Linked DNA regions of Stegostoma tigrinum. The protein of the gene in region 3 purifies or fractionates together with the protein of the main gene of each other region. This does not show direct contact. Links are inferred from orthologs where the notes say so. Each region holds a gene or a part of one and is shown on either strand. Other genes may lie near its edges. The genes, in order: snrpa, snrpb2, sf3a3 and sf3b6.

Region 1 (7,133 bases), on a different chromosome or scaffold from region 3:
GCCTTCGCACAGTCCACTATCTCCTGCAGACCCTGCACCTCACACATGTTCAGCAAATGTCCGGCCATCCATAGAGCCACCAGTCCACACCTGAATCACAATAAAATACAAGGAGCAGTGGTGACTGAGAAAGCAATTGCAGTTTATAGGCAGAAGAAAGGTCCACAGCACAGCACACAATGCAATCTCACATGCAGGCATGAGATGAATGGCAGTCAATCTGCTTTGGGAATTAGTTGAAGGTTGAATATTGGCTAGGACACAGGGAAAAAGCACCCACACTTGGCAGATTATGGAAGGCAGCATTTATAGGTGAGAGAAAAACAGAAAAACTACCCGTGTTCTGATGAAAGGTCATGGAACAGAAACATTAAATCTGTTCCACCAGAGGTGATGCCAGACATTGCCAACATTTTCTATTTCATAGAATCCCTACAGTGTGGAAACAGGCTATTCAGCCCAACAAGTCCACATAGACCCTCTGAAGAGCATTCCACCCAGGCCCATTCCCTCTACCCTATCTCTGTAATCCTGCATTTCCTGTTGTTAACCCACCTAGCCTGCACATCCCTGAACACAATGGGAAATTTAGCATGGCCAATCCACCTAACCTGCACATCTCGGGACTGTGGAAGGAAAGTGGAGTACCTGGCGGGAAACCATGTAGACACGGGGAGGATGTGCAAGTTCCAGTTGCCTTAGGATAGAATTGAACCTGTGTCCCAGGCACTGTGTGGCAGCAGTGCTAACCGCTGAGCCTCTGTGCCCCCATTTCTGCCAGTATGCACCAATGTAGAGAAACCAGAATTAGATACTTACTGTGGACCATCCTGGATCAGCGAGGGTACATATTTATTAATAAGGAGCCATTGCAAATCTTTGTTGAAGCTGGAAATATGAGAAAATCAGAAAAATGTTCAGCCATTGGAAAAGAATCTATCACTTGATAGCACACTTGGGCTCTGATATTAAACTGCAATAGTACATGAGGATGCACTGTTAACCTATAATAACACATAAAGGATGCATTGCTTAGTCTATAAGAGGGCAGTAACTTGGCCAAGCCATTAACTTCGCACAGTATACAGAGTGTTACAACCAAGATTGGAGCGGGGCATCAATTTCCCTTTAGTCCCACTCCTCCACTGGTCATAATGAATTTTAAACTGTGTGGTGATATGGCCAATTCAATAGGCTTTACATTGTATCTGACTTAGTGCTAGAAATAATTCAGCCAGTTTCTTAAGTTAACAATTAATACCTAGTTTATTACAAATAAAACTTACTCAGACAAAAGTGTAAATGTAAACATCAAAAGTGATTGAGTCAGATCCCATGGATTACTCAGCAACTACCTACCCACCCCTCCCCGCTCTCAGGATGTCAGTGACATTGTGGGTTACTAAGTCTCATTTTAAGACTTCACTGTTGAAGAACTGGCCTTTAAAGTACATCAAAAACTACTCCATCATGCATTGCCTCAATGATTGCTCAGTTTCTGGTAGCTCACCACCTGTTCCAGGAGTGACACTCCTCTGGATTCTGGAAACCACACTCTAGCATCGTCACAGGTGCAAATGCATCTTTTTTCGTGGACAGCTAGCTTTATCAAGTTAGTACCGCCCTTGATTTATTTTTCCTGAGCTCTAACATTTGTCAGTTGTACAAAGTGTTACTTGTGGGTTTCCATAACCTTGCTCACAACTGTATTGAAATATTAATGGCACGTGGCTTTTTCCAAGGTCTCTCAGCCCCTAGGACGTACCTGAAGACCAAACTCCAACACATAGCTGTACCGACAATCCTAGATCTCTTTCCTGAGTTTTGACCGCAGAGTTATTCGACTGTGTTTGACTTCTCAGAGATGTTTTTAGGAAGTTGTACTACACTTGAAATGTTAATTGTGTCTCTCTACAGATTACAGAATCCCTACAATATGGATGCAGGCCATTCGGCCAACTGAAGCCACATCAACCCTCCAAAGATGCAGTTGTTCATTAACATGCGGAAGGAAGCAGAACACCATTGCTTCAATTAGAAATCACATTGATGATGTTGCCTAGAAGGGTAACAGAATGTCTGCACACCACAGAACAACCAGCTCAGTGCGCTAATGAACAACTGCATCCACAACCCGAGCTACAAATTTTCGCTAAGACCTTAAAAACCATTTAAAGAGTATCCCACCCAGACCTCGCCTATCCCTCCATTTCCCATAGCTAATCCATGTCTGGACACTATGGGCAATTTAGCATGGCCAATCCATCTAAACTGCATGTCTTTGGCCAGTGGGAGGAAACTGGAAACCCATGCAGACATGGGGAAGAATATGCAAACTCCAGACAGTCACCCAATGCTAGAATCGAATCCAGGTCCCTGTCGCTGTGAGGCCACTATGCCACCCATATGCTGCCAGAACTGCTAGGTTTCTCCAGCACTTCTTGTGTTTCAGGTTTCCAGCATCTCCAGAATCTTGCTCTTATTTAAACAACTGTGACAAACATGGCTCATAATTTTTAGTTTTATATACCTGTTAGGCCTGCTCTGGACCAGCAACTTCACCTCCTCCCAGTCTCCAGTTACTGGTAATCGGTCTTGAGCAAAAATCTGGTATAATTTATTTTGTGATGGTTCAGAAGGAGGGGACAGAAAGGGTGGAGGGAGGGGGGGAGGAGGAGGAGGGACTGACAAATAGTCTGTACCATCAGATGTGTCACTGATGAGATTTTGCTCTCCTTGTGCCATTTCAACATGATGGAGGTGGGACATGGCAGCCCACTATTTAACGTTTGGCTTTGACTTGATAAATTGGAGCATCCCACAACAATTTTTACGAGTAAGTTGCCTCAGTAACTAGTACACCAAGGGTCAGAGATACTGTTGTAATATTTGCCTTGGAGGAAAAAAAATCATTATCATTTATCACTTATTGTTCCAGAAAATATTTGTCTTTTATATTTAATGGGGGAGTTAGGGGCAGGAGATGGGGTGAGTGGTGGAGGATTTGGGAAAGTAGTCTCAGTGGGAGTAATGAAGACTCCATGTTGAGGGAGAAGGGGGGCATGGAATAACTGCATGACATTCAACAATTTAAGAAAAATGATGTGAGGTCCATCAGGAAATCACAGACCCGTTACTATCTGCTGTCAATAAATTGCCTGAATCCACAAATTCAAAATTTCTGAGCATAGAGCCAGCACAGATTTATAAAGGGTTAGATAGCAGGGAATAGTGCTAGTTGTAACAAGGACTGGATTTGCAGAAAAGAAATCAACACAGAAGAGTGGGCGAACAGTGGTTGGAAGCTGGGTCAGTTGAGGTAGAACTGGTATGGGACATGGGGTAATTTGGGGATGAAGTAATTAGGGAATGGGATGGCTGGATGGAGAAACAGTAGTTAGGGAAGGGGTCGATTAGGGATGGTCAGGGAAAATGAAATCATTTGAGGGATGGAGTAGTTGTGAAGGGGTGAGGCAGGGGTATTTTGAGGTGTTGGAGGCAGGGTGGGATGATTGGGGTTGTATAGTTAGGTAGAGTGGAGTGATTCGGGTATTGTGGAGAGTAACGGGGCACTTTGGGGTGAGGTGTGATTTTTATTGTGGGATTGGACTGTGCAGTTTGGGGAGGGGTGGAATGGTTGGAGTAGTTTGGGATGTAACTGAGGGATGGGAATAGTTGGTAAGGTGGCTTTTGGGGTGAGATTGGAGTTGGATCGCTGGGGAGGTTGGAGGGCGATTGGTGATGGGGTGGAATGGTTTTTGGGGAGAGGGAGGGGATTGAGGTGGGTTGGGGTTATTTGAGGTGTTTGGTGTTGGGGAGTGTCGGATAGGGGAATAAAGTAATTGGGGGATAGGATGGATGCAAGTGTGTGTGGGGTACTTAGGAAAGCGGAGGGTCGGGAATTACTGAACACGTTCTAGAACATTCCGTCCCTGAATCCCACTCTACATCCCGCGATTGGCCACGGTGGAATGGCCAATTTGATTGACACCGGTCTAGTCCAATCAGTTCTCTCAGATCGGGTCTGTGCTGTTGAATGGACCCAGACCGTTAGCGAGTCACTGATTCCCCTCTCCCGCCCTCTTAGCCGCTCCTTCTCGATCTCTGTTTCTGTTTCTGTCCTTTCTCACTCCCCGCCGGAGCCCGAAACGTCAGCTTTTGTGCTCCTGAGATGCTGCTTGGCCTGCTGTGTTCATCCAGCCTCACATTTTATTAGCTGGGGAAACCATCCGGGTCCCGCGGGGACACCGACCCTCCCGCCTTCGTCTGATTGACGGGACCGCGGACAAATCGGTGAGCGGCCCCGCACCAGGGCCGGCCAATGGGAGCTGGCCGCGGGGTGAGGGGGTTGGACTTCCGTCGTGGCGCGCGGTGCTGGCGGTTAGGGCCCGCGACCATCCGCTGCCATCCCCCAGCGTTTAGAGCCGGCGGCCGCCCGCAGTTAGCCTGATCGTCTCTGTGTGCGGGAGCTCGCATCGCGTCGCACGGTCGGTTCTTTAGAGCCGCGGTCTCACCAGGTTCGTACGGAGCAGCCTGCGGCGGAACCACGGGTTAAAGCTTCCGCCGACGGGCGGTAGCTTCCGGTTCAGGGCCGATGGAGGTAAAGAGAGGGCGGAGGGTTGGCTGAGAGGGAGAGAGTAGGCCAGGGGTAAAGGGTGAAGGGTGGTAAGGCAAAAGGGAGGGCTGAGTGGCTAAAGGAATGTGAGAGAGGTTGAGTTGATGGGTGGGCGTCTAAGGATACAGCGTATGCCAGAGGAGACTGAGATGATGAGAAATTCCTCCACCCGCAGACTGCTACTACTGTGGTTTTCTGTGGTACAGAAAACAGGCCAAAATACTACGTTTCAAGAAGGAGTTGGATTTGGTGATTTGGGCTAAAGGGATCAAAGGACATGGGGAGGGAAAGGTAGGGTCAGGTTGTAGAGTTTGATGATCAGATGTGGTTGTAGAGAATTGTGCAGCAGGCTTGAAGGGCCGAATGGCCTCCGCCTGTTTTTTATGTTCGTGCACAGAGGGGGCTGTGTGAGCTCTCAGAAGGAGAGGGGGGTAGGCTGACCTTTCCCTCAGAGGTGGGGGAGAGAAGGGGCTGTCTTGCTTCTCAGAGCGGGTGAGCTTGGATGAAGGATGTGAGAGAAGGGGTTGTTTAGTAATCCTGTCTCTGGGTAACGGGCAAAGGAAGGACAATACGTACTCTTAACTTTGGGATCTAGGATGGGGTGTGCTTGAGTTGCTTTAGAGCAATTTAGGGATGTGACTTACATTTCTACCACTTATAGCCACACATTGGGCTGCAGTCCTTTGAATCTGGGAGCGGTGTTAGCGGATGAGAATGGATACGTTTGGCAGCCACCTTTTGTCAGCTTTGGTTCTGCACAGTAACCACATGTAATGCTAGCATGCTGAGCAGCATTTCCTCTCAAAGTGTGTATACAACCACAGTGATTAGTGTTGTTTTGCTGATCAAGACATTGACTTCCAATTCTGGAAGTTGCTGCTGCATTGAGGCTTTGGAAGTTCAGGCAGCCATTAAAACAATTAAGGAGTGTGGTGCTGAACTACAGTGAACAGGTTGAATTCTGCTGATCATCCTTGGTCTGGACTATCAAACCTTTTAAGATTTATTGAATGTCACAGCTTGCCATTGTTGATTTTGAGCTCATGATTTCTGAGTTGAGTTCAACTCTGAGATTTGCCATAATGAAGTTAGAGAGAGGTTTATTTCTTTTGAAGAGTGACATCTATGAGACTGACTTTCACTTGTGCTCATTTCCCCCCTCAGTTTTAATTTTAGTTAGCGCAAGAGTAGAGCCATGACTACCCAAGAGGCCCGTCCAAACCACACCATCTACATCAACAATTTGAATGAGAAGATCAAGAAAGATGGCAAGTATTCAGGGATAGTTCTGGTTCAGCAGTGTATTCGGGTATGTTTGGGTTGGGGACTTCGAGAGCATTAGTGGGGTCTAAGACAATAAATGCTGGCACAGTTAGCAAAGTGTGTACTGAGAGTGAATTTTAACAAACTGCTCCTCATCCCCTCATGTTTATTTAGTTTCTTAAAGGAAATTTCTCTCAACTATCCCTGCGGTGGGAAGTTCTGACTAAGCATAGCTTAAAACAACTTTCTCCCAGTTTCTTTATTGGAATTATTAATAAGTACCATGTATGACCCGTTGTTTCGGAGTGTTCAACAGCCATATGCAAGGACTGTTATAGAGTCGTACAGCATGGAAACAGGCCCTTTGATCCAACTCGTCCATGTGACCCAAATTTCCCAAACTGAACTAGTTCCAACTAACTCCTTTTGGCCAATATCCCTCTAAACCTTTCCCATTCATGTACCTGTCAAAATGCCTTTTGATTTATACATTTAAAAGGCATCCTGAAGGGTATGTGAACAAGAACGGTTTACAGGGAAATGGGTCTAGATTAATTTAGGGTATCTAGTCAGCGCGGACGAGTTGGACCAAAGGATCTGCTGCCATGCTGTACATCTCTATGACTCTGTGTTGTAACTGTACCTGGATTTGCAGCAGTTGCCGTTGAGTCCCTTCAAATCAGGCAGTTGTCTATTTTGTTGAATATGTCCCAAATGTTAAAGACCATAGTGCTAAAGATGACCCCTCCCTGGCTCTAGCCTCTTTGTAGAAAAAAGAGCCCCAGTCTGCCAGTCATCTCTAACACAAACATATCATTTAGTGTGAGTTAACCACTCAACCCCTAAAGTCTGTTCATTCTTTCAATAAGATCATGGGTGATCTGATAACTCCACTTTGCTTACCCACAAAACCCACTCTCCAAATATGGTGTCTCCAATGCCCTGTATAAATGAAGCATAACTTTGTTTTGTAACTATAACCATGGTTCTGGTGTCATTCTTGCAAAGCTTTGTTTGCATCTTCTGTATTGTTTTTGTAAGAGGTTGACTGGGCTTTGCACAATATGACATTATGAATCAACCGCATTTACTGGACATTCATGAACTTGAATTGTGGTTTCAAGTTCACGTTCAAGTCTGGTCGCAATTGTACTTGTGACTGATTTGAAACTGAAGTTGATTGTGTTATGTTTCTTCTCTTTCTAGAGTTGAAGAAATCGCTGTATGCCATTTTTTCCCAGTTTGGTCAGATTTT
Region 2 (7,083 bases), on a different chromosome or scaffold from region 3:
TTTCAGTTATATAGTACCTTTCGTAAACACCAGATAACCCAAATTGTTTACAACTGATTAAGTATTTTTAAACTGCAGCTGCTGTTGGAGAAAATGCAGTAGCCAATTTGTAAACAGCAAATTCCCAAAAATGCCAATGTGATGACTAATACATCTGCCTTTGTCATACTGATTGAGGGAGAAATATTTGCAGAATACCTCAGAAGAGGACTCTTGTCCAAAGAAATAGGCATAGAGGCATAGGCAATGGACAAAGAGTTCAATGTCATATTGTATCAGTAATGCATGAAGGTGGGAGTGCAGGGGAATAAAACTAAGACCTTTACTGAGTACAAAACATTCAGAGAGCGGAAGGTCAGAAGGGGTAGTAAATGCATGACAGAGGTTGGGGTTGGGGTTGGCGGGGTGCTGGAGTTGAAGGAAAGGAAGATTTTGAACTGTATGATTTGTTGGAAAATTGAAGGAAATTGCTGAAACACTACCACATTTTCTTTGGCGATCCTGTGGCCTTCTGGACTCTATCATAAAGTTCAATAATGTTTGTGCCTAAGTGCACACCACCCCACCCCCAACCATTTCATTGTCAGCTACTAATGGTCCCCATTAGCAGTTAGTCATTCTCCCACACTAGCCTTTACCAATTCCTTTTTCTGTCCAACTGGTGTTTTCTCTGTCTGGGATTCTTCTCCACTTATCTTTTCCTCTACCGGACATGCATATGGTCACAGAAATTTGAGGGTGCATACATGAGGATCAATGGTCGGCACAACATCGTGGGCTGAAGGGCCTGTTCTGTGCTGTGCTGTTCTATGTTCTAAACTTCATTGACTCTTCTATGAAATTGTGCCTTGAGTTTTTTTACATCCACATATGAGGGCAAATACAGCCTGTGTTTAAGATCTCATCCGACACAACACTACTGACACTTAAGCACTCCCCCAGTTCAGCAGTACTGCGCTGAATGTCAGTATGTTTTTTTGCTCAAAGTCTGGAGTGGAACTTGAGACAACAATCTTCTAATTCAATGGTGAATGTGCTACCAATGAGTTTGACTAACATTGTGCCCTAAACCTCTGTACCTCTTCAACTCTCTTTATTCTTTAAGATTCTCCTTAAAACCTTCTTAAAATCTTTTCCTCATTTAATCCCATAGATAGTTCAGTATGAAGCAACTTGTGATATTTTACTATTTTATAGGTACTATATAAGTGTAAATAAAAAACTGTTTACAATGATCGGATAAAATTCACACTCTGGTTCTGGCTGACTATTTTAACAACAAAAGATTAAAGAAAACATACTTCCATTGTGTGAACATAACAGTTATCAGATCTGGGTTTAAAGATGAAAGATTATTGTATTAGCCATGGTCTCATCGAGTGACGGACCAAAGTCATGGGCTAAATGGCTTACTTATGCTGCTCCATTTGATGGCCTTATAAACACTGACATGACATTTCCGAAAGTTAGTGTCTATTATTCATTTAACAAAAAAAACGGAAGAACTGCCGATGCTGGAGATCAGAAACAAAAACAGAAATTGCTGGAAAATCTCAAAAGGTCTGGCAGCATCTGTGGAGAGAAAGCAGAGTTAACATTTTGGGTCCAGTGACCCTTCTTCAGAAATGATGGTAGCTAGGTAAAGGTTTGTTTGTATGTTGTGGGGTAGTGGGTAGTAGAAATGATAAGTGAAGATGGGGCTCAAAGACAGAGAAACAGTTGGATAGATGAAAGAATGAGTAAAGGTCAATCTAGAAGAATGAATAGCTGCTAATGGTGACTATTAGTAGCTAACAATGGGTTGTGTGTGGTAGCAGCCTGTGATGGGAAAGCCTGATGTGTGGGGGTTGGGGTAAGGACATAGGAGAAGGTGCTCAAGGCCGAAAATTGTTGAACTGTATTGAATCCAGAAGGCTGCAGAGTTCCCAAGCAGAAAATGAGGTGCCTTTCTTCCATCTTGCACTGAGCTTTGCTGAAGCACTGCAACAAGTCAGAGACGGAGATGTTGGCTAGGGAGCAGGCTGGAGTGTTAAAGTGGCAGGCAATGGGAAACTCAGTTTTTTTTGTGGATAGAATGCAGGTGTTCAACAAAGTGGTCACTCAGTCAGCTCTTTCTTTCCCCAATGTGGAGGAGACTACATTGTGAGCAGCAAATGCAGTAGACTAGATTGTGTGAGCGCTGGTTCACCTGGAAGGTGGGTTTGGGCCTTGAATGGTGAGGAGGGAGTAAGTCAATGGGCAGGTGCTACACCTTCTGTAATTGCAGGGGATGGTGCCGTAGGGCTACGGGTACATTTTTGGAATGAAGGAGGAGTGGACAAAGGTATTCCAGAGGTAACAGGGAAGGGAATATGTATCTACTGGTGGCATCTCGCTGGAGGTTGCAGGAACAGTTGTTTATGATCCTGTAGATGTGGATTCTCGTGGGATGTTAGGAGAGGACAATGCGGACTCTGTTGTTGTGGGTGGGAAGAAAGGGCATGAGAGCTGAAGCGCAGGAGCTGGGCTGGACCTATCTGAGGTCCCTGCCAGCCAGGGAACTGGGGAAAGGACAACGCATAACTCATTGACAGCTACTAATAGTTCCCATTAGCAGCTATTCAATCTCCCAGTTTGACCTTTACCCATTCCTTTGTCTGTCTTTGGTTTCCAACTCCACCTGTTGTTTACTCTTCCCCTTCTCCCCCACTTCATCTTCTTCATAAATGCCAACCTTTTCCTAGCTATGATCGGTTCTGAAGGGTCACTGGACCCAAAACACTAACTCTATTTTCTCTCTACAGATGCTGTCAGACCTGCTTTCTGTTTGCATCTATTATTTATTTATTGTTTACTAATCAAAATTTGCAATTATGTACATGTCAATCCTTAATTAACCAACATGTAACAAATGACCAATATAGTGGAGATAACAAGGTGTTGAGCTGGATGAACATGGCAGACCAAGCAGCATCAGAGGAGCAGGAAGGCTGATGTTGTGGGCCTCGACCCTTCTGGAAATGTCAGCCTTCCTGGTCCTCTGATGCTGCTTGGCCTGTGTGTTCATCCAGCTCTACACCTTGTTATCTCAGATTCTCCAGCATCTGCAGTTCCTACTATCTCTGAACCAATAGACACCACTGAACGCTCAGATGGAAGATATTCAGAGAGCTGCAAAATTACTTAGGACTGAATTTTATCTTCAGGACTGTGAGAACCATAGCTCACTATGTAACCAAAATACTGTTAATGTTGGAAATATAAAACTAAAACAAAGTGCTAGAAATGCTCTCCAGGTCTGGCAACCTTTGCTAACAGCTGGATCTTCTGATGAGTGGCGATCGCCTTTGCATTGCTACTGCACTCTTTATTCTGCATAGGATCAGCATTGTAAGTTACACCCTATTTGAGGCAGTAATTGGTCTATTCCATGATATTAAAGTCGCAAGATAATTTGACAAGCTAATTTAACAAGGCTCAGAAGGGGGCAACGTGAAAGATAAGGAGTGTAAGTCATGGGGTAGTTTTTTTGGGGGTGCACTCCACAGTGAACTGGGGATGGGACATCAGATTTTAATCCTTTCCTTGGGTGAGGACGCGTTGTAGACTTTCATATTGGGTCGTTGAGGCTGGGTGAATTTAAGCATACTGGTGATTCAATCTTTTTTATATCACCAGTTAGCTTACTCATATGAATTGCCAGAGGAAATGGTAGATGCAGGTTTAGTTACGACATTTGAGATACATTTGGGTGGGTATATGAAAAGGAAAAGTTTATAGTGATATGAGCCAAATAGAGATAAACGGGACTAATTGAGATGGGAGAGAGAGAGAGAGAGATAATGGGAACTGCAGATGCTGGAGATTCCAAGATAATAAAATGTGAGGCTGGATGAACACAGCAGGCCAAGCAGCATCTCAGGAGCATAAAAGCTGACGTTTCGGGCCTAGACCCTTCATCAGAGATGGAGTCTAGGCCCGAAACGTCAGCTTTTGTGCTCCTGAGATGCTGCTTGGCCTGCTGTGTTCATCCAGCCTCACATTTCATTATCTCAAAACAGCACGGGGCGGTTTGATGAGGTCATCAACGCGCGACGCAGATGGTTGGTCGCGCGTTGAAGAGGTCATCAACGCGCGACGCGGATGGTCGGTCGCGCGAGTCGGAGAAAGATCGAGAAGTAAAAACCCTCGTGAGCGTGATAGTGAGGAGTAGGTATGGAGTTGTGCTTCGGTGGGGTCGGCGAATGGGACTGCTCACTTTAATAAAATAGTCTGCTTCTCCGACCGAAAACTGGTCTCGGTTGCTGTCTCCAGTGTTCCAAGTGTGTTTGGCGTGTAGTTGCAGTCGGGTTTGAGGAAACACTATGCCGGTTGTAGTCCACCTTACGTATTTGGTTTGTAGTAACCTAGAAGCAGCAACTCCTCTTTCCCGCCGTCAGTAATCCCGTAGCATTTTCCAGAGATGTTCAGAAATAAACTGAAACCGAAAGGAAGAATGAGGAAGGGCCTGGCGGGGTGAGCTGAAAGCCTGTGAATGCAATGTAGTATGTGAGAAGGTCGGAAAACATTAGTGCGGTGAGTTGTAGGAGCTTAGAGGTAAACTAAAGAAAGGAATTAAACAGGAATTTTAGATTGAGTAGTCTAGAAGCCACCGTAGTAACGCGGTCACAGTGAGAGGTGAGCGGAACCGAGTTTACGATGGGATACGTGTTGCCAAGTTTTGGAGGAGTTTGTGTTTTAACATGTGGAGGCTAAGAGCATCTTGAAATAATTGTTTGCGGACCAAAATTTCGGGGATGGATGGGCGAGGTCAGAGCTACATTTAAATAAAAAATATGTTTCTTCTGTTTTTGGATATCGTAACGTTGCTTTTCCATGCAGTAGAGAGGTTGAGAGAACAAGAGTGAAAGTGTGGAAGCATGTAAACAAGAAAGGGAAAAAGTCCCGAAATAAATACTAGTTGGGTTACTATTGGGGTAGTAAGTGGGTTGACCTACACCCTTTCATCTAGCCTGCTCAGTTATCTCGGATGGAGATTTCTAGACATTCACAACCCTCCTGAAAGGGGGATAGTCATCTCTTTAAAAATCCATTGTGGAATCAGAGAACACCTGACAATGGTTTGTGATTCTCCCAGCAATGGTAAAATCTTTTGAACACTTACCTTGTCAAGCCCACCCACCATCTAAGATGTTTCAATTAGATCAGCCCTTGTTCTTCTAAACTCTATAAAGGCCTAAGCCTTTGCTTGATAAGTTAAGGCCAGATCCCAGGAATCAGCCTAGTAAATCTGTTTTGAACTACGTGCAGTGCCAGTATATTCTTTCCTGAATACATGGACCAAAACTAAAGACAGTACTCCATGTGCAGCCTCACCCTGTACCCAGCTGTAATAATTTCCCTGTTTTTAACTTCTGACCCTGAACAATAGAGTCAAAAATTGTTTGTCGCCTTAATTATTTGTCGAAGCTGCGTGCTATATTATTGCATTTCATTTGCAAAAGCTTTCAGATCCTATGTTGCTGTCTTGTGGAGTCTATCTCCATTTTAAATAATAGTCTGCCTTTTGACCTGATAATTTGTTACATTAAATTTGTCTGCCAAGGTTTTGTCCACTCTCTCATTCTCTGTTCCCTTGCAGATTCTTTGCCTTCACTATATGCACTGCTACCTATATTTGTGTTATCAGCAAATTTGGATATATTACACTTTGACCCTGCCAAGCCATCAATATTGATAGCTTGATGGATAATATTTGAGACTCTGCAGCTCTCCACTAGTTGCATCTTTTACAACCTGAAAAAGTCCCCTTAATCCTGGCTCTCTCTGTCTTCTGCATGTAAACCAACATTTCTCATTTTAATTCATTGCCTCCAGTACTGAGAACTACTTTCAAAAAGTAACATAGTGAATTGAGGGCAAAGCGTTGGACGTGATTTGTATGGACTTCAGAATGGATTCAACAAGGTTCCGCATGGCAGACTGGTAGTGAGGTTAGATCGCATAGAATACAGGGAGAACTAGCCATTTGGATGCAGAACTGCTTCAAAGGTGGAAGACAGAAAGACAGAGGGTGATGGTGAAGAATTGCTTTTCAGACTGATAATTGACTCCTAAATTGGTGGTGAAGTGGACAGCCAAGAAGGTTACCTCACAGTACAATGGGACCTTGATCAGATGGCCCTGTGTGTCATGGAGATGGAGTTTAATTTAGACAAATGTGAGCCCCTGCATTTTGGAAAGGCAAATTAGGGTAAGACTTATATACGTAACGGTAAGATCCTGGGGAGTGTTGTCGAATAAAGCGACCTTGGAGTGCAGGTTCATGATTCCTTGAAAGTGGAATGGCAGGCAGATAGGATATTGAAGAAGGTGTTTGGTATGCTTGCCTTTATTGGTCGGTGCATTGAATATAGCAGCTGGGAGGTTGTGTTACAGCTGTGCAGGATATAGGTTTGGCCACTTGTAGAATATTGCATTCAATTCTGGTCTCCCTGCTATAGGAAGGATGTTGTGATCCTTGAAAGGACTCAGAAAAGATTTACAAGTATGTTGCCAGGGTTGGAGAGTTTGAGGGAGAAGCAGAATAGGCTGGGGCTATTTTTTCTGGAGCATTGGAGACTGAGGGGTGTCCTTAGAGATTCATAAAATGATGGCTAGAGTGAATAGGCAAGGGTGGAGGAGTCCAAAACTAGAGGGCATGGGTTTAAAGTTGGAGGGGGAAGATTTAAAAGGGACCTAAGGGGCAACTTTTTCAAACAAGGGGTGGTGCCTACGTGGAAAGAGCTGCTAGAGGAAGGGGTGGAGGCTGGTACAATTACAGCATTTAAAAGGCATTTGGATGGGTATGTGAATAGGAAAGGTTTAGAGGGATATGGGCCAAATTCTGGCAAATGGGACTAGATTAATTTAAGATATCTGGTTGGCATGGGCAAGTTAGACTGAAGAATCTGTTTCCATGCTGTGTGATTCTGTAATTAACCTGTTATGGGGCACCTTATCGTATACTTTCTGGAAATCCAAACATATTATATCTTTTGGTTCCCCTTCTCAACTCTGCTTGTTATATCCCCAAAGAACGCTACCAAATTTATCAAACATGAT
Region 3 (6,827 bases):
AAGACTGTAGCCTAGAACTTTTTCTAGTAAGAAATTTAAGAACTCTTATGATGGTGGAAATGATTACTGGACTTGGACCCAAGAGACTGGCCTAACATCCTCTGGCAGCAGTTCTCCAGCTCAAGTATTTGTGAAGGTAAAACCGAAGCTGAGCTCAGTACTCACCATCCATAAGGCACCTTTTGTGCCATCTAGTGGTCATTGAATGATTAACCCAAACACTGGATGGGATAAGAAGCACTGTTGAAGCAACGAGCCCCAAGTGTTGGACTCACTGAAAGTTCAAATGAAGAATTTATATGAACTTATAATTCTTTGATAGAAATTTCTGGAAGTGCTGAGGTCTTCCAGCACTTTCTGCTTCCACCACAAAAAAACTGGAAGCACTCGCTTTTCCAATTGGTCTCTTTATGAGGGTGTCACCTGTTAATACCAGACTATGCAGGCAAAAGCTGACACCTGAACGCTTCTTGTAATGTACTTGTAGCATCCCTACCTTTGAGCTAGGAGGCCTAGGTTCAAGTCACACCTGCTCTAGAGTTGTCTAATAATATCTTTGGCCAGGTTTGGTTAGAAAATATAAAAACAACTACCTCCTGTACTAATACAGTGTGGAGCTGGAGGAACACATCAGGCCGGGTAGCATCAGAGGAGCAGGGAGGCTGACATAGGCTTTTCTGAAGAAGTGTCCTGACCCGTAACATCAGCTTTCCTACTCCTCTGATTCTGCCCGTCCTGCTGTGTTCCTCCAGCTCCACATTGTGTTGCCTATGACATTGGCAGTTCTTATTATCTCTGACTCCTGTATTTCCTTATTTAGACATACTTTCCAAACCTGAAGGAAATTATATTCATCCTTAATATTAAAATCATGCAAATTAAAATTAACATTACACACAGATTTTGAGTTATGTTGAAGTGCATCTTAAATTTGATGTTAAGGTACAATGACAGAAGAAATCATTGACACAGACACAAAGCAAAAATTAAAGTAACTGGTGGAATAAAATTCTGACATCCCTTAAAAATTAAAAATAGGCAGATTGGGAAGCAATTCTTCTCTCAAAGTGCAATGAAACTTTGGAACTATTGCTGCCAAAAAGCTGGCTAAGGAGTGGGGTTGGGACGGCCACAGGGTAAACTGGATGCTTGCCTTGGGCAGCATGATTTGGGGAGCTGCAAAAAAAACCCTGCGAGCTTTTTAAATAATTTTGAACTGAAACGCATAATTTTATACAACTTGGTTTCATTGTTGTTGTTTCCTGGGTCAAACACCAGTGCCATTATGATAGGACCTGACAGCTGCCCCGTAATTTAGCTCAGATTATGTTACCACAAAGGTTGGGTTCTTATTGGGACAGATATATTGAAGTTTATTCACAATATTTATTATTTACATAGCTGTAATATTATAAACATAGAAACTGCACAGGTTCTGTACTTTCTGATATTAGCCCATATGTTATACAGATGACAAATTGGCTGAACATACAACCCTGACTCCATGACACAGAAGTAACTGGTAGGTACTGGGACATCATGTATTTGAATGATGTGATGCTTGAAGGCGCACAACATGCCTTGGCCTGGAATCTATGCAATACCAAAACATCGCAATTCACACCCTTGTCTGCAGGGAAAGAACCTGCAATTGCCATCATCTTCCAGCATTACCATATGTTGATATCACATCCAATGTAACATCACCCAATCAAATTCAAACATCTTTAAACATACCATAAAAGCTAAGAGAACAGTGATTGGCTAGGATTCTGGTAGGTTGTGATGTGATTGATGGTGTTTTGAATTTCATTGAGGGGTTGGGTTAGTGTTTTGCAATGGATGTGAGAGGGGATTCATATCATTTTAATCTTTGTTGGGTCAGGGTTTGTTTTTAAGATTTACTGCAGATGGTCTTGCATTATTTTGACTGCGACTAGAAGTTAAACAGCAGAGCTTTAACCAACAGCCAATTCATTGCCTGGGTGTGTCATGTTAGTGATAAATTGACCAATGATAGTTCACTTGTCAAGAGTGACTGGCTCTGAGTGTTGGTCCATCCAAAATAGGAAAACACATTATCACTTATGAAGCAATTCAACTGACCTCTGTGTGTGTGTGTGTGTGTGTGTGTGTGTGTGTGTGTGTGTGTGTGTGTAGTACACACACTACAGCAGACTAATAGATGGGTAAATTTGCCGTATGGTACATTGGTAGAGGAGCGGGTCTGGTGGTTACATAGTCCACCAGAGCTGGAGTGGTGTGGGTGCTGACAAGGCCATAACGGTGTGTGGAGGTGGTTAGCTGCTGTCACAGCTGGTCCAAACTTTGAGTCCCCCACCACCGACGCACCTGAGCAGGGAAGGTACATGTACACATTGGATAAACAAAAAAAAAGCTATAGTGTACTCTGTACTGTGGAATAGTGCTACTTTGAGAAGGTCAGACCCTCGATATGCAAAACTGGGACATGGCATATACAGTTAATGGTAGGACGCTGTAGAGTGTTGCCAAACAAAGAGACCTCGGGGTATCGGTGCATTGTTCCTTGAAAGTGGAGTTGCAGGTGGACAGGGTAGTGAGGAAAGCATTTTGTATGCTTGCTTTCATTGGTCAGAGCATTTAGTGTATGAGTTGGGGTGTCATCCAGCAGCTGTACAGGACATTGGTGAAACCACTTTTGGAATACTGCTTACAATTCCGCTCACCTGTTTATGCAGCATGATTTTGTTAAACATGAGAGGGTGTAAAAAATATTTACAAGGATTTTGCATGGACAGGGGGTTTTGAGTTACAGAGAGAGGTTGAATAAGCAGGGGCTGGACTCTTTTCCCTGGAGTGGTGGAGACTAAGGGGTGACCATATAGAGGTTTATAAAATCATGCAGGGCCTGGATAGGGTGAATAGCCAAGGTTGTTTCCTGGGGCAGGGGGAGGGAGTCATGCAAAAGTAGCGGGCATAGTTTTTAAAGTGAGAGGGCAAAGATTTAAACAAAGATCTGAGGGGTAGCTTTACCATCGGTGTTGCATGAATGGAATGAGCTGCCAGAGGACATGGTGGAGGCAGGTACAATTACAACAGTTCAAAGGCATCTGGACGGTATTTGAATAGGAAGTGTTTAGAGAAATACGGGCCAAATAGTGGCAAATGGCATGAGATTAATTTAGGATATCTGGCTGGCATTGTTTGTTTCTGTGCTATATATCTCTACAACTCTACGTGGGACAAAGTCTTGGGTGAGCTCTGAACAGTGAGAGCAGAAAGCATAGTCACAGTCACTAATGTACTGCAATGGAGGCAGGAGTTGTGAACGAACCTGATTGCAACAAAGAATGTTCCGACTATTGACCAAGTTAATGCAGATATTTCATGAAGTCAACACTCCAGCCTCCGTGGACTGTGCTGTGAGCAAACCAGGATAAAACTCGCAGAAACATCAACATGAAGTAGAAACATGTTTCCTTGAACACTCCTGTGTAACTTAGTTGTGAAACATGTTGTGCGAATCTCACTGAGTTGGGAACTGCTGTCACTTTGGACAAAGCTGATAGACCCAGATGGGTTTCCCACAGCAACTCATTTTATTTGCTGAACAAGAAACAGAAATCACGGGAATGGTGGGATACATTTCCAACAAGGGAAACAAATCGACGTAAAAACACAAACAAATGAACGCAACAGTAAAATATATTGGCAGAAATGAAGCGTTTTCACGGTTGTTTTGCCTCTCTTTTGGGGGGGGGGGGAACGTTTCTCCAGCGGTCGCTGACGGCGGAGGCAGGAACGTGAACACCCCGAATTCCGGAAGGCAAGTCACGTCACGTCCGGCGGTCTGTCCAATCCGGGAGCGGGTCCGTCAGTTTCAGCACGGTCGTCGTGTCCCGCCGCAATGGAGACCATTCTGGAGCAGCAGCGCCGTTACCATGAGGAGAAGGAGCGGCTGATGGATGTGATGGTGAAGGAGATGATGGTGAAGAAGTCCACGGTGAGCGGGGGAGGGCGGTTGTGTTCAGGTTTTCGGCTGCTTCCTCTCCTCCCCCGGGAGGCCGGGCCCCTCAGCCTCGCTGTAGGAAACCCCTGCCCCTCCACCCCCCGGGGGCCCGGGGTCGTACACAGAAAAGCTCATAGTTTTTAAAAAGGGCATCTCAGACTGTTAGACCGTGAAATGTATCGGTGGAATAAGGCCATTCAGCCCCTCGAATCCACCCATCACTCAATGAACACAAAAGCTGGCGATTACAGTGGGTCAGGCAGCATCCACCCACGCCCCTCCACCTCCTCCCGAACTTCCAGTTCCCCGGTCCCCCACATCTCATTTTCACCGTGGACGTCCAGTCCCTATACACCTCCATTCCCGTACAGATGGCCGAAAGGCCCTCGGCTTCTTCCTGTCCCGCAGATCCGACCAGTCCCCCTCCACTGACACCCTCATCCGCTTATCCGAACTCATCCTAACCTTCAACAACTCTTTCAATTCCTCCCACTTCCTGCAGACAAAGGGGATGGCCATGGGTACCTGCATGGGCCCAAGCTATGCCTGCCTCTTTGTACGTTACGTGTAACAATCCCTCTTCCGTAACTACACTGGCCCTAAACCTAATCCCTTCCTCCGTTAAACTGATGACCATATCGGCACCGCCTCCTGCTCCCACGAGGAGCTCGAACAGTTCATCCACTTCAACATCTTCCAGCCCAACCTTAGGTTCACCTGGATCATCTCTAACACCTCTCTCTCTCCTTTCTGACTCCTCTGTCTCCATCTCAGGCAACCACCTCAAAACCAAGATCTGTTTCAAGCCCACATACTCCCACAGCTACGTAGAATACACCCCCTCCCACCCACCTTCCTGCAAAAATGCCAAAGCCATTCTCAATTCCTTTGCCTCCTCCACATCTGCTCCCAGGATGAGGCATTCCACACCTGTACATCTCAGATGTCCTAATTTTTCAAGGACTGCAAACCCCTGTAGTGGTCAAGAATGCCCTCAACCATGTGTCCCGCATTTCATACAACTCATCCCTCACTTCCCACAACTCATCCCTCACACCCCGTCCCCGCAATAATCACCAAAAGAGAATCCCCCTTGTCCTCATGTACCATCCCTCCAACCTCCAGATACAACGCATCAACCTCCGACACTTCTGCCATCTGCCAAAGACCACCTCACCACCAAATTCATTTTTCTCTCCCTACCCTTGTCTACTTTCCAGAGGGATCACTCTCTCTGTGACTCCCTTGTCCGCTCCACACTCCCGTCCAACCCCACCACACCCAGCACTTTTCCCTGCAACCACAGGAAGTGCTACGCCTGCCCCCATCCCTCCTCCCTCACCCCCATCCCAGGTCCCAAGAAGACTTTCCACATCAAGCAGATGTTCACCTGCACATCTGCCAATGTGCTATATTGTATCCAGTGGACCCGGTGTGGCCTCTGCCACATCGGGGAAACCAGGCGGAGACTTGAGGACCAATTTGCAGAATACCTCCACTCGGTTAGCAATAAACAACTGCACCTCCCAGTCATGAACTATTTCACCTCCCCCTCCCGTTCCTTAGACGACATGTCCATCCTGGGCCTCCTGCAGTCCCACATCGATGCCACCTGAAGGTTGCAGGAACAGCAACTCTTGGGAACCTTGCAGCCCAATGCTATCAATGTGGATTCACAAAAAACTAACTGCAACTAACCCCTACTGCATCCCAAAACCAGCCCAGTTCATCCCCGCCTCCCTAACCTGTTCTTCCTCCCACCTATCCCCCGCCTCCCACCTCAAGCCCCACCTCCATTTCCTTCCTACTAACCTCATCCCGCCCCCTTGACCTGTCTGTCCTCCTCAGACTGACCTATCACCTCCCCACCTCTACTGGCTCCATCCCCGCCTCTTTAACTTGTCAGTCTCCTCTCCACCTATCTTCTCCTCTGTCCAACTTCGATCCACCTCCCCCTCTCTCCCTATTTATTTCAGAACCCTCTCCCCCTCTCCCATTTCTGATGAAGGGTCTAGGCCTGAAATGTCAGCTTTTGTGCTCCTAAGATGCTGCTTGGCCTGCTGTGTTCGTCCAGCTCTACACTTTGTTATCCGTGGAATTGCGCACATGCTAACATTTCATGTCCAGATGACTCCTTGATCCCCAGCACTTGTTTTTAGTACAGACTCCAACATCTGCAGTAATTTGCTCCATCACTCTGTGAGATCGTTATCTGACAGTCCATTTCCCTGCCATACTCGATAAACTCCTTATCTCGTGCTGGTCAGAAATCTCTCCAACCTGGCCTGAAATGGATGTTGTAGTGCGGGGAATCCAGGCCAAGTGCTTCAAAGAAATAAACAGGAATTGCTGGAGGAACTCGGCAGGTCTTGCGGCATCTGTGCAGAGAACTGAAAGAACTGTGGACCTGTAAATCAGGAACAAAAACAGAAGTTGCTGGTAAAGCTCAGCAGGTTTGGCAGCATCTGTGAAGATAAAAGTCAGAGTTAATGTTTAGGGTCTGGTGACCCTTCCTCGGAATTGGAAGGGTCACCAGAACTGAAACGCGAACTCTAGTTTTTTGTTTCTTCGTAAGTGCTGCCAGATCTGCTGAGCTTTTCCAGCAATTTATGTTTATGGAGAGAAGTTATGAAGAACAGACACTGGACTCAAAGCTGTGACTATTTCTCTGTCGACCATTGCTGCAAGGCTAACTGAGTTTTTCCAGCATTTTTTTCCAGATTTTTAGCCATTCTTTGTTTTGTTCAGGTGTTTAAAATCTTTGGTTGATTCATTGGACTCAGTGTCATTCCTGAATTCATGTCCATATTGTCCATGTTTTCATTTTTGGAATACG
Region 4 (7,102 bases), on a different chromosome or scaffold from region 3:
CAGCCATAATCATATAAAATGGAGAAGTGGGCTGAATGGCCAACTCCTGCTCCTATTTTCTGCAATACAAGAAGCACTGATATTGGTAGACGAACTGGTGATTTTGAGATACTTGGTTTTTCAGCAGCTCAGCATCCGTTTTCCTGTTCCATTTCTTTGCCTGCTTTCTATTTTCTAGCAAAGGAGACTTATTTTCATTTTACCTTAAATTCAAGGGTGACTCAAGGTTTTCACAGCTGTGGTCGTCACTGAACACACCTTCACACACTGGAACACATAAACTAGTGTTGGAATCGGTATTTAATTGTTTGTATATTCATGAAAGAGGAAAATCCAAATATGTTTCTCACCCATACTGCTCTCTCCTGTCATGTTTACAGGCTGGAATATAGTTCAATTTGTAGTCCTTTTTGTCCTTTTGAAGTCCTTCTCTTTGAAACTTTCTTGACACTCATCAGTTGTGACATTTGTGGGTTTCCTTCAATACGAAGGATAACCCACACAGGCTTACCAGAAATATCACAGCCTTACATTGCATAGAAGTTATATTCTCAGTCGTTTTAGCTATAACCACTCTTCAAAAAATGGTGTATTTAAAAGTTTAACATATCTAGTGGTGATCCATAATCTTAATAGCCCACGTCTCCACATTGCATGTTTATGAACATTAAAATCGGTAAGCTGCAGTCCATAAACGGCAGTAAGTATACCTGAATGCACCTAAAACAGTGCAGTCACCAATCAAGGGAAATATGAAAATAACACAAGTGTGAACTCTGGATAATATTATGTTGTGTCTTATTGTGAATGAATGCCATTAACTGTTCCCCCACTACATATGAACTCAACATGTACCTCAACCCATGATAAAACAGAAAGTGCTAGAGAGACTCGGCAGATCTGACAGCATCTGTGGAGTGTCATAAAGTCATACAGCATGGAAACAAACCATTTGACCCAACAAGTCCATGCTGACAATAATCCCAAAAAAACTAGTCCCACTTGCCTGCGATTGGCCCATATCCCTCCAGCCCGTTCTTATTCAAGTACTTATCCAAATGTCTTTGAAACATTATAACTGTACCCACAACTACCACTTCTTCTCAAAATTCATTCCACGCACAAAACTTTCTCTGTGTAAAATAATTGCCTCTCTTGTCCTTTTTAAATCTTGCCCCTCTCACTTAAAAATATGCCCCATAGCCTTGAACTCCCCCACCCTAGGGAAAAGACCCTTGTCATTCACCTTATCTATGCTCCTTACGATCTTATAAACCTCGATAAGGTCACCCCACCACCTCCTACGCTCCAGTGAAAGAAGTTTCAGCCTATCCAGCCTCTCCTTATAACTTTAACCTTCCATTCCTGGCCACATCCTGGTAAATCATTTCTGAACCTTCTCCAGTTTAATAAATCCTTCCTATGACAGGGTGGCCAGAACTGGACACAGTGCTCCTAACGGATTGAGTCTGGTATTATTTTTCTGCTAACTCTTCAGAATACATAATACAGAAACATTTAATTACTTGTGCACACTACAAACAGCAGAGACAGCAGCTCTGACGCTCCTCTCCCCTTACTTCCACACTAACCTCCAGTCTAACTTTCAGACTTCTCCTACTCCTCCCATCCCACCTCCCCACGACCCCACCATCCCTGCCCTGACCAATCTCTTACTCCAATTCAGTAGTACGGGGTGCAACAGTGGAGGTAGCACATAGTGCAGGATGGTGCCCTGCGGGCTGCATGTGGGAGCACACAGGTTTGTGGCTTATGCTATCGGTCATCAAGGAAAGTCTGTAACACTGGCAGCAAAATCAGTTACTGCACATAGAGGTAAATGTAAGGATTATCGTAAATTGGGCAGTTACTGGCATAGATTTCCAAGTGGAAATTTGATTCTCTTGGCTGTAACAGAGACCTAGCTCAAGTGCAGGGCAAGATTCGCTGGTAAATCTTCCAGAGTACAGGGTGTTTGGAAAACATAGAAAAGGGAGGGAGACAGATTTGGTTAAGAAGAAACTTTGTAGTGCTGGAAAAAGTGGACTCTTGATGGGTTCAAGGACAGTATCCATTTAACTACATCGAACAAAAAGGATACACTGCTAGTGTAGTTTATATCCAACTAAAGAAAGAACAAATATGCATGGAAATTGTAGAGAGATGCCAACATTACAGAGCAGTTATGATCAGGGACTTCAGTTGTACAAATTTAGGCCGGGATTTGGTCGTGTTAAGGGGCAGGAAGGGCAAGTATTCCCAACACCAGAATGTGTCCAATCCAACAAGGAATGATGCAATGTTGGATCTGGTTCTTGAAACTTGGGTGGGCCAAGTCGATCCAATGTCAGTGACAGACATCTAGGAGACAGTTCTGAAGAAGGGTCACTGGACCCGAAATGTAACTCTGTTTTCTCCCCCACAGATGCTGCCAGACCTGCTGAGCTTTTCCAGCAACTTTGTTTTTGTTCCTGATTTACAGTATCCGCAGTTCTTTTGGTTTTTATCTAGGAGACCGTGATCATTTTATCACAAGGTTATAAATGATTGTGAAGAATGCCATTAGTCAACCAGAGTAAGAAAAATTAATTGGCAGAGAGCCAACTTTAGTGGGGCAAGAATTGAACTGGACAGGTTGGAATAGAACGAGTGGTTGACGGGAAAAACTGGAAGATGCTCCCCAGGCCAGTGAAAAAGGAAAAAGATCAATCACCAAAAGGGTTCAATATTGCTAAGGAAGAAGTGTTGGATAGATGGTTGGTACTTGGAGTTGACAAGGTACCAACACTAGATGAGATGCATTCAAAGATATTGAAGGATATAAGAGTGTAAATTGTATAATCTTTCAGGCTTCCTTAGATTTGGGAGAGGTAACAGAAAATTAGAGATTTGCAAACACTAGGATCTTATTCAAGAATGGTTGTAAGGATAAGCCCAGCATTACAGACCAGTCAGTTTATCCATGACTTAGGAGTTGAGAAGCTTCCAAAACTATTATTTTCGATAGAATTAGTGGTCACATGGAAAAAAGATGGTTTGATTAGGTAAAGTAAGTATAGATTTCTGAAGGGAAAACATGGTTGACTAACATTGGTGATTTTTGAAAAGGTAACAGAAAAGCTCAATGAGGGCAATACTGTCATTGTGGTGTATTGGACTTTCAGAAGGCATATCATACCGTGCCAGACAACAGACTTTTGAGGAAAATATAGGTCATAGGAATAAAAAGGTCAGTTGCAATATGGATATAAAATCAGCCAAGTGGTAGGAAACAAAAAGTAATAGTCAATGGCTAATTTTCAAACTGGCAGAAGGTCTGCAGTGGAATTCCCTGTAGTCAATATTGTGTCCCTGGCTTTTTTTTAAAAACAAATATTAGTGATGTAAATCTTGGTGTTAAGTGAACAATTTTAAAGTTTGCAAATAACACAAAACTTGAAAGAGTTGTACTCTGAGGAGGTCGGTGTAGAACTTGAAAATGGCAGCGAATTCAGTAGAGTGAGCAGGAAGCATTGCATATTGACGTGGATACCCCACCATAGGAAGAACGTGCCTGTCTGGAAAAGAATGCAGAAGCAATATTATGAGTGGTTCCAGGAATCGGGAACTTCAGCTATTGGAACGGATTCAAAGAATTGTCACTGATTCTCTTCTGAGAGAAAGACGCTAAGAGCCCTTGTGAAGCTTTGTAAAATCACCACGCTGTGGAGACTTGCCACCAATTTGAACTTGGTGCGTGCCTTCGATCCCTGGTCTTGGGCCCCAACTGCAGGTATGCCAGCTGTGGCTGATACAGTCAGTGTTCAGCGATTGCCCCAGGAATATCCCCAGTGCCCAGGATAACCCTGCACGCAGGAATGGCTAATACCCCAGGAGCAAACAGTGCCTCGGAACACTCATTGCCAAAGGGAGTGTTGCAGGGACATGCTGCACCGCGGGTAATCCCACTGGGAAAGGGCACTCCTGGGACTCCCTGCAGCTACATTGACCTGGAAACCTGAACCTCTGTGACCTCCTGGTGACCCCTTGGAACTGGGCAACTCCCCGGAGCACGTGGCAGACGGGTGCGTATGACGCCAGGGCGCAAGGGGTCTGTGACGCCAGTACGCTGTTGCGTCGCCGCGGTGAGGTTTCCTGCGCGCTCTGATCGGCCCTGTGTGCTCGGCCTCTTGTTCCTACAGACCGGTCGCGATGGCGATGCAAGCGGCGAAAAGGGCGAACGTGAGTCCGCTTCTCTTTAGTCGTTGACCGCGCCACGCCCCCGGCCTTTCCCCCAACCGACTGCCGGCTCCATTCGATCTTCCGTCCGTCGTACGTTCAGCCCCGAAGCCGGGCTACACGCTCACCTCCAGTGAGGCGTCCCCTTGGCAGAATAGGATTGTCCCTCACGAGCCGCACGCCCCACCCCCACACTCCCCACCCCCACACTCCCCACCCCCACACTCCCCACCCCCACACTCCCCACCCCCACACGAATCCTCCGCTCCCCCCCGAATCCTCCGCTCCCCTCCTCCCCCCCCCGAATCCTCCCCCCCCCGAATCCTCCCCCCCCCCGAATCCTCTCCCCCCCCGAATCCTTTCCCCCCCCCCAATCCTCCCCCCCCCCGAATCCTCTCCCCCCCCCGAATCCTCTCCCCCCCCGAATCCTCTCCCCCCCCCCGAATCCTCCCCCCCCCCGCCGAATCCTTCCCCCCCCGAATCCTCCCTCCCCCCCCGAATCCTCCCTCCCCCCCCGAATCCTCCCTCCCCCCCCCCGAATCGTCCCCTCCCCCCCCCGAATCCCCCCTCCCCCCCCCCGAATCCTCCCTCCCCCCCCCCGAATCCTCCCTCCCCCCCCCGAATCCTCCCTCCCCCCCCCCGAATCCTCCCTTCCCCCCCCCCGAATCCTCCCTCCCCCCCCCCGAATCCTCCCTCCCCCCCCCCGAATCCTCCCTCCCCCCCCCCGAATCCTCCCTCCCCCCCCCCGAATCCTCCCTCCCCCCCCGAATCCTCCCATCCCCCCTCCCCCCCCCGAATCCCCCCTCCCCCCCCGAATCCCCCCTCCCCCCCCGAATCCCCCCTCCCCCCCCGAATCCCCCCTCCCCCCCCGAATCCCCCCTCCCCCCCCGAATCCTCCCATCCCCCCTCCCCCCCCCCTGAATCCCCCCCTCCCCCCCCCGAATCTCCCCCCCCCGAATCTCCCCCCCCGAATCTCCCCCCCCCGAATCTCCCCCCCCCCGAATCTCCCCCCCCCCCCGAATCTCCCCCCCCCGAATCTCCCCCCCCCGAATCTCCCCCCCCCCGAATCTCCCCCCCCCCCGAATCTCCCCCCCCCCCGAATCTCCCCCCCCCCGAATCTCCCCCCCCCCGAATCTCCCCCCCCCCGAATCTTCCCCCCCCCGAATCTTCCCCCCCCCGAATCTCCCCCCCCCGAATCTCCCCCCCCCCGAATCTCCCCCCCCCCCGAATCTGCTCCCCCCCCCCGAATATCCCCCCCCCAAGGGCGTCCCCTTGGCAGAATAGGATTGTCCCTCACGAGCCGCACGCCCCACCCCCACACTCCCCACCCCCACACTCCCCACCCCCACACTCCCCACCCCCACACTCCCCACCCCCACACTCCCCACCCCCACACTCCCCACCCCCACACTCCCCACCCCCACACTCCCCACCCCCACACTCCCCACCCCCACACTCCGCTCCCCCACACTCCGCTCCCCCCCCGAATCCTCCGCTCCCCTCCTCCCCCCCCGAATCCTCCCCCCCCCGAATCCTCCCCCCCCGAATCCTCCCCCCCCCGAATCCTCCCCCCCCCGAATCCTCCCCCCCCCGAATCCTCCCCCCCCCGAATCCTCCCCCCCCCGAATCCTCCCCCCCCCGAATCCTCCCCCCCCCGAATCCTCCCCCCCCCGAATCCTCCCCCCCCCGAATCCTCCCCCCCCCGAATCCTGCCCCCCCCGAATCCTGCCCCCCCCGAATCCTGCCCCCCCCGAATCCTGCCCCCCCCGAATCCTCCCCCCCCGAATCCTCCCCCCCCGAATCCTCCCCCCCCCGAATCCTCCCCCCCCCGAATCCTCCCCCCCCGAATCCTCTCCCCCCCCGAATCCTCTCTCCCCCCCCGAATCCTCTTTCTCCCCCCCCCTCCCCCCCCCGAATCCTCCCTCCCCCCCCGAATCCTCCTCCCCCCGAATCCTCCCCTCCCCCCCCCGAATCCCCCCTCCCCCCCCGAATCCCCCCTCCCCCCCCGAATCGTCCCCTCCCCCCCCCGAATCGTCCCCTCCCCCCCCCGAATCGTCCCCTCCCCCCCGAATCTTCCCCTCCCCCCCTGAATCCTCCCCCCCCTCCCCCCCGAATCCTCCCCCCCCTCCCCCCCGAATCCTCCCATCCCCCCTCCCCCCCGAATCCCCCCTCCCCCCCGAATCCCCCCCCCCCGAATCCTCCCTCCCCCCCAAATCCTCCCTCCCCCCCCCGAATCCTCCCATCCCCCCTCCCCCCCCCGAATCCCCCTCCCCCCCCCGAATCCCCCCTCCCCCCCCCCCGAATCCTCCCTCCCCCCCCCCGAATCCTCCCCTCCCCCCTCCCCCCCCTGAATCCCCCCCTCCCCCCCCGAATCTCCCCCCCCCGAATCTCCCCCCCCCGAATCTCCCCCCCCCGAATCTCCCCCCCCCGAATCTCCCCCCCCCGAATCTCCCCCCCCCCGAATCTCCCCCCCCCGAATCTCCCCCCCCCCGAATCTCCCCCCCCCCGAATCTCCCCCCCCCGAATCTCCCCCCCCGAATCTCCCCCCCCCGAATCCCCCCCCCCCCGAATCTCCCCCCCCCGAATCTCCCCCCCCCCGAATCTCCCCCCCCGAATCTCCCCCCCCCCGAATCTCCCCCCCCCCGAATCTCCCCCTCCCCCCCCGAATCCCCCCCTCCCCCCCCCGAATCCCCCCTCCTCCCCCCCGAATCCCCCCTCCCCCGAATCCCCCCCTCCCCCTCCCCCGAATCCCCCCTCCCCCGAATCCCCCCTCCCCCTCCCCCGAATCCCCCCTCCCCCTCCCCCGAATCCCCCCTCCCCCTCCCCCGAATCCCCCCGAATCCCCCCTCCCCCTCCCCCGAATCCCCCCTCCCCCTCCCCCGAA

Evidence for each region.
Region 1: the proteins of sf3a3 (region 3) and snrpa fractionate together in Homo sapiens (co-fractionation; 4 studies listed by BioGRID and IntAct, with this or other methods). This does not show direct contact. The link is inferred for Stegostoma tigrinum from reciprocal best matches to the Homo sapiens genes SF3A3 and SNRPA.
Region 2: the proteins of sf3a3 (region 3) and snrpb2 purify together in Homo sapiens (affinity purification with mass spectrometry; 6 studies listed by BioGRID and IntAct, with this or other methods). This does not show direct contact. The link is inferred for Stegostoma tigrinum from reciprocal best matches to the Homo sapiens genes SF3A3 and SNRPB2.
Region 4: the proteins of sf3a3 (region 3) and sf3b6 purify together in Homo sapiens (affinity purification with mass spectrometry; 3 studies listed by BioGRID and IntAct, with this or other methods). This does not show direct contact. The link is inferred for Stegostoma tigrinum from reciprocal best matches to the Homo sapiens genes SF3A3 and SF3B6.

Annotation. Positions count from the first base shown.
Region 1 is NC_081392.1:9,170,222-9,177,354, reverse strand, and holds the start of snrpa (U1 small nuclear ribonucleoprotein A), read left to right. Parts: upstream 1-4,109; 5' UTR 4,110-4,293; exon of another isoform or gene 4,294-4,600; intron 4,601-4,642; exon of another isoform or gene 4,643-4,906; intron 4,907-5,779; 5' UTR 5,780-5,810; coding exon 5,811-5,883; intron 5,884-7,084; coding exon 7,085-7,133. Other genes in the region: actmap (actin maturation protease), read right to left, coding at 1-90, 820-888, 2,531-2,769. UniProt on the Homo sapiens protein: Component of the spliceosomal U1 snRNP, which is essential for recognition of the pre-mRNA 5' splice-site and the subsequent assembly of the spliceosome. U1 snRNP is the first snRNP to interact with pre-mRNA.
Region 2 is NC_081371.1:23,725,694-23,732,776, forward strand, and holds the start of snrpb2 (U2 small nuclear ribonucleoprotein B''), read left to right. Parts: upstream 1-4,078; 5' UTR 4,079-4,192; intron 4,193-4,453; exon of another isoform or gene 4,454-4,554; intron 4,555-7,083. UniProt on the Homo sapiens protein: Involved in pre-mRNA splicing as component of the spliceosome. Associated with sn-RNP U2, where it contributes to the binding of stem loop IV of U2 snRNA.
Region 3 is NC_081377.1:18,061,839-18,068,665, reverse strand, and holds the start of sf3a3 (splicing factor 3A subunit 3), read left to right. Parts: upstream 1-3,820; 5' UTR 3,821-3,889; coding exon 3,890-3,985; intron 3,986-6,827. UniProt on the Homo sapiens protein: Component of the 17S U2 SnRNP complex of the spliceosome, a large ribonucleoprotein complex that removes introns from transcribed pre-mRNAs.
Region 4 is NC_081357.1:122,345,139-122,352,240, reverse strand, and holds the start of sf3b6 (splicing factor 3B subunit 6), read left to right. Parts: upstream 1-4,084; 5' UTR 4,085-4,191; coding exon 4,192-4,221; intron 4,222-7,102.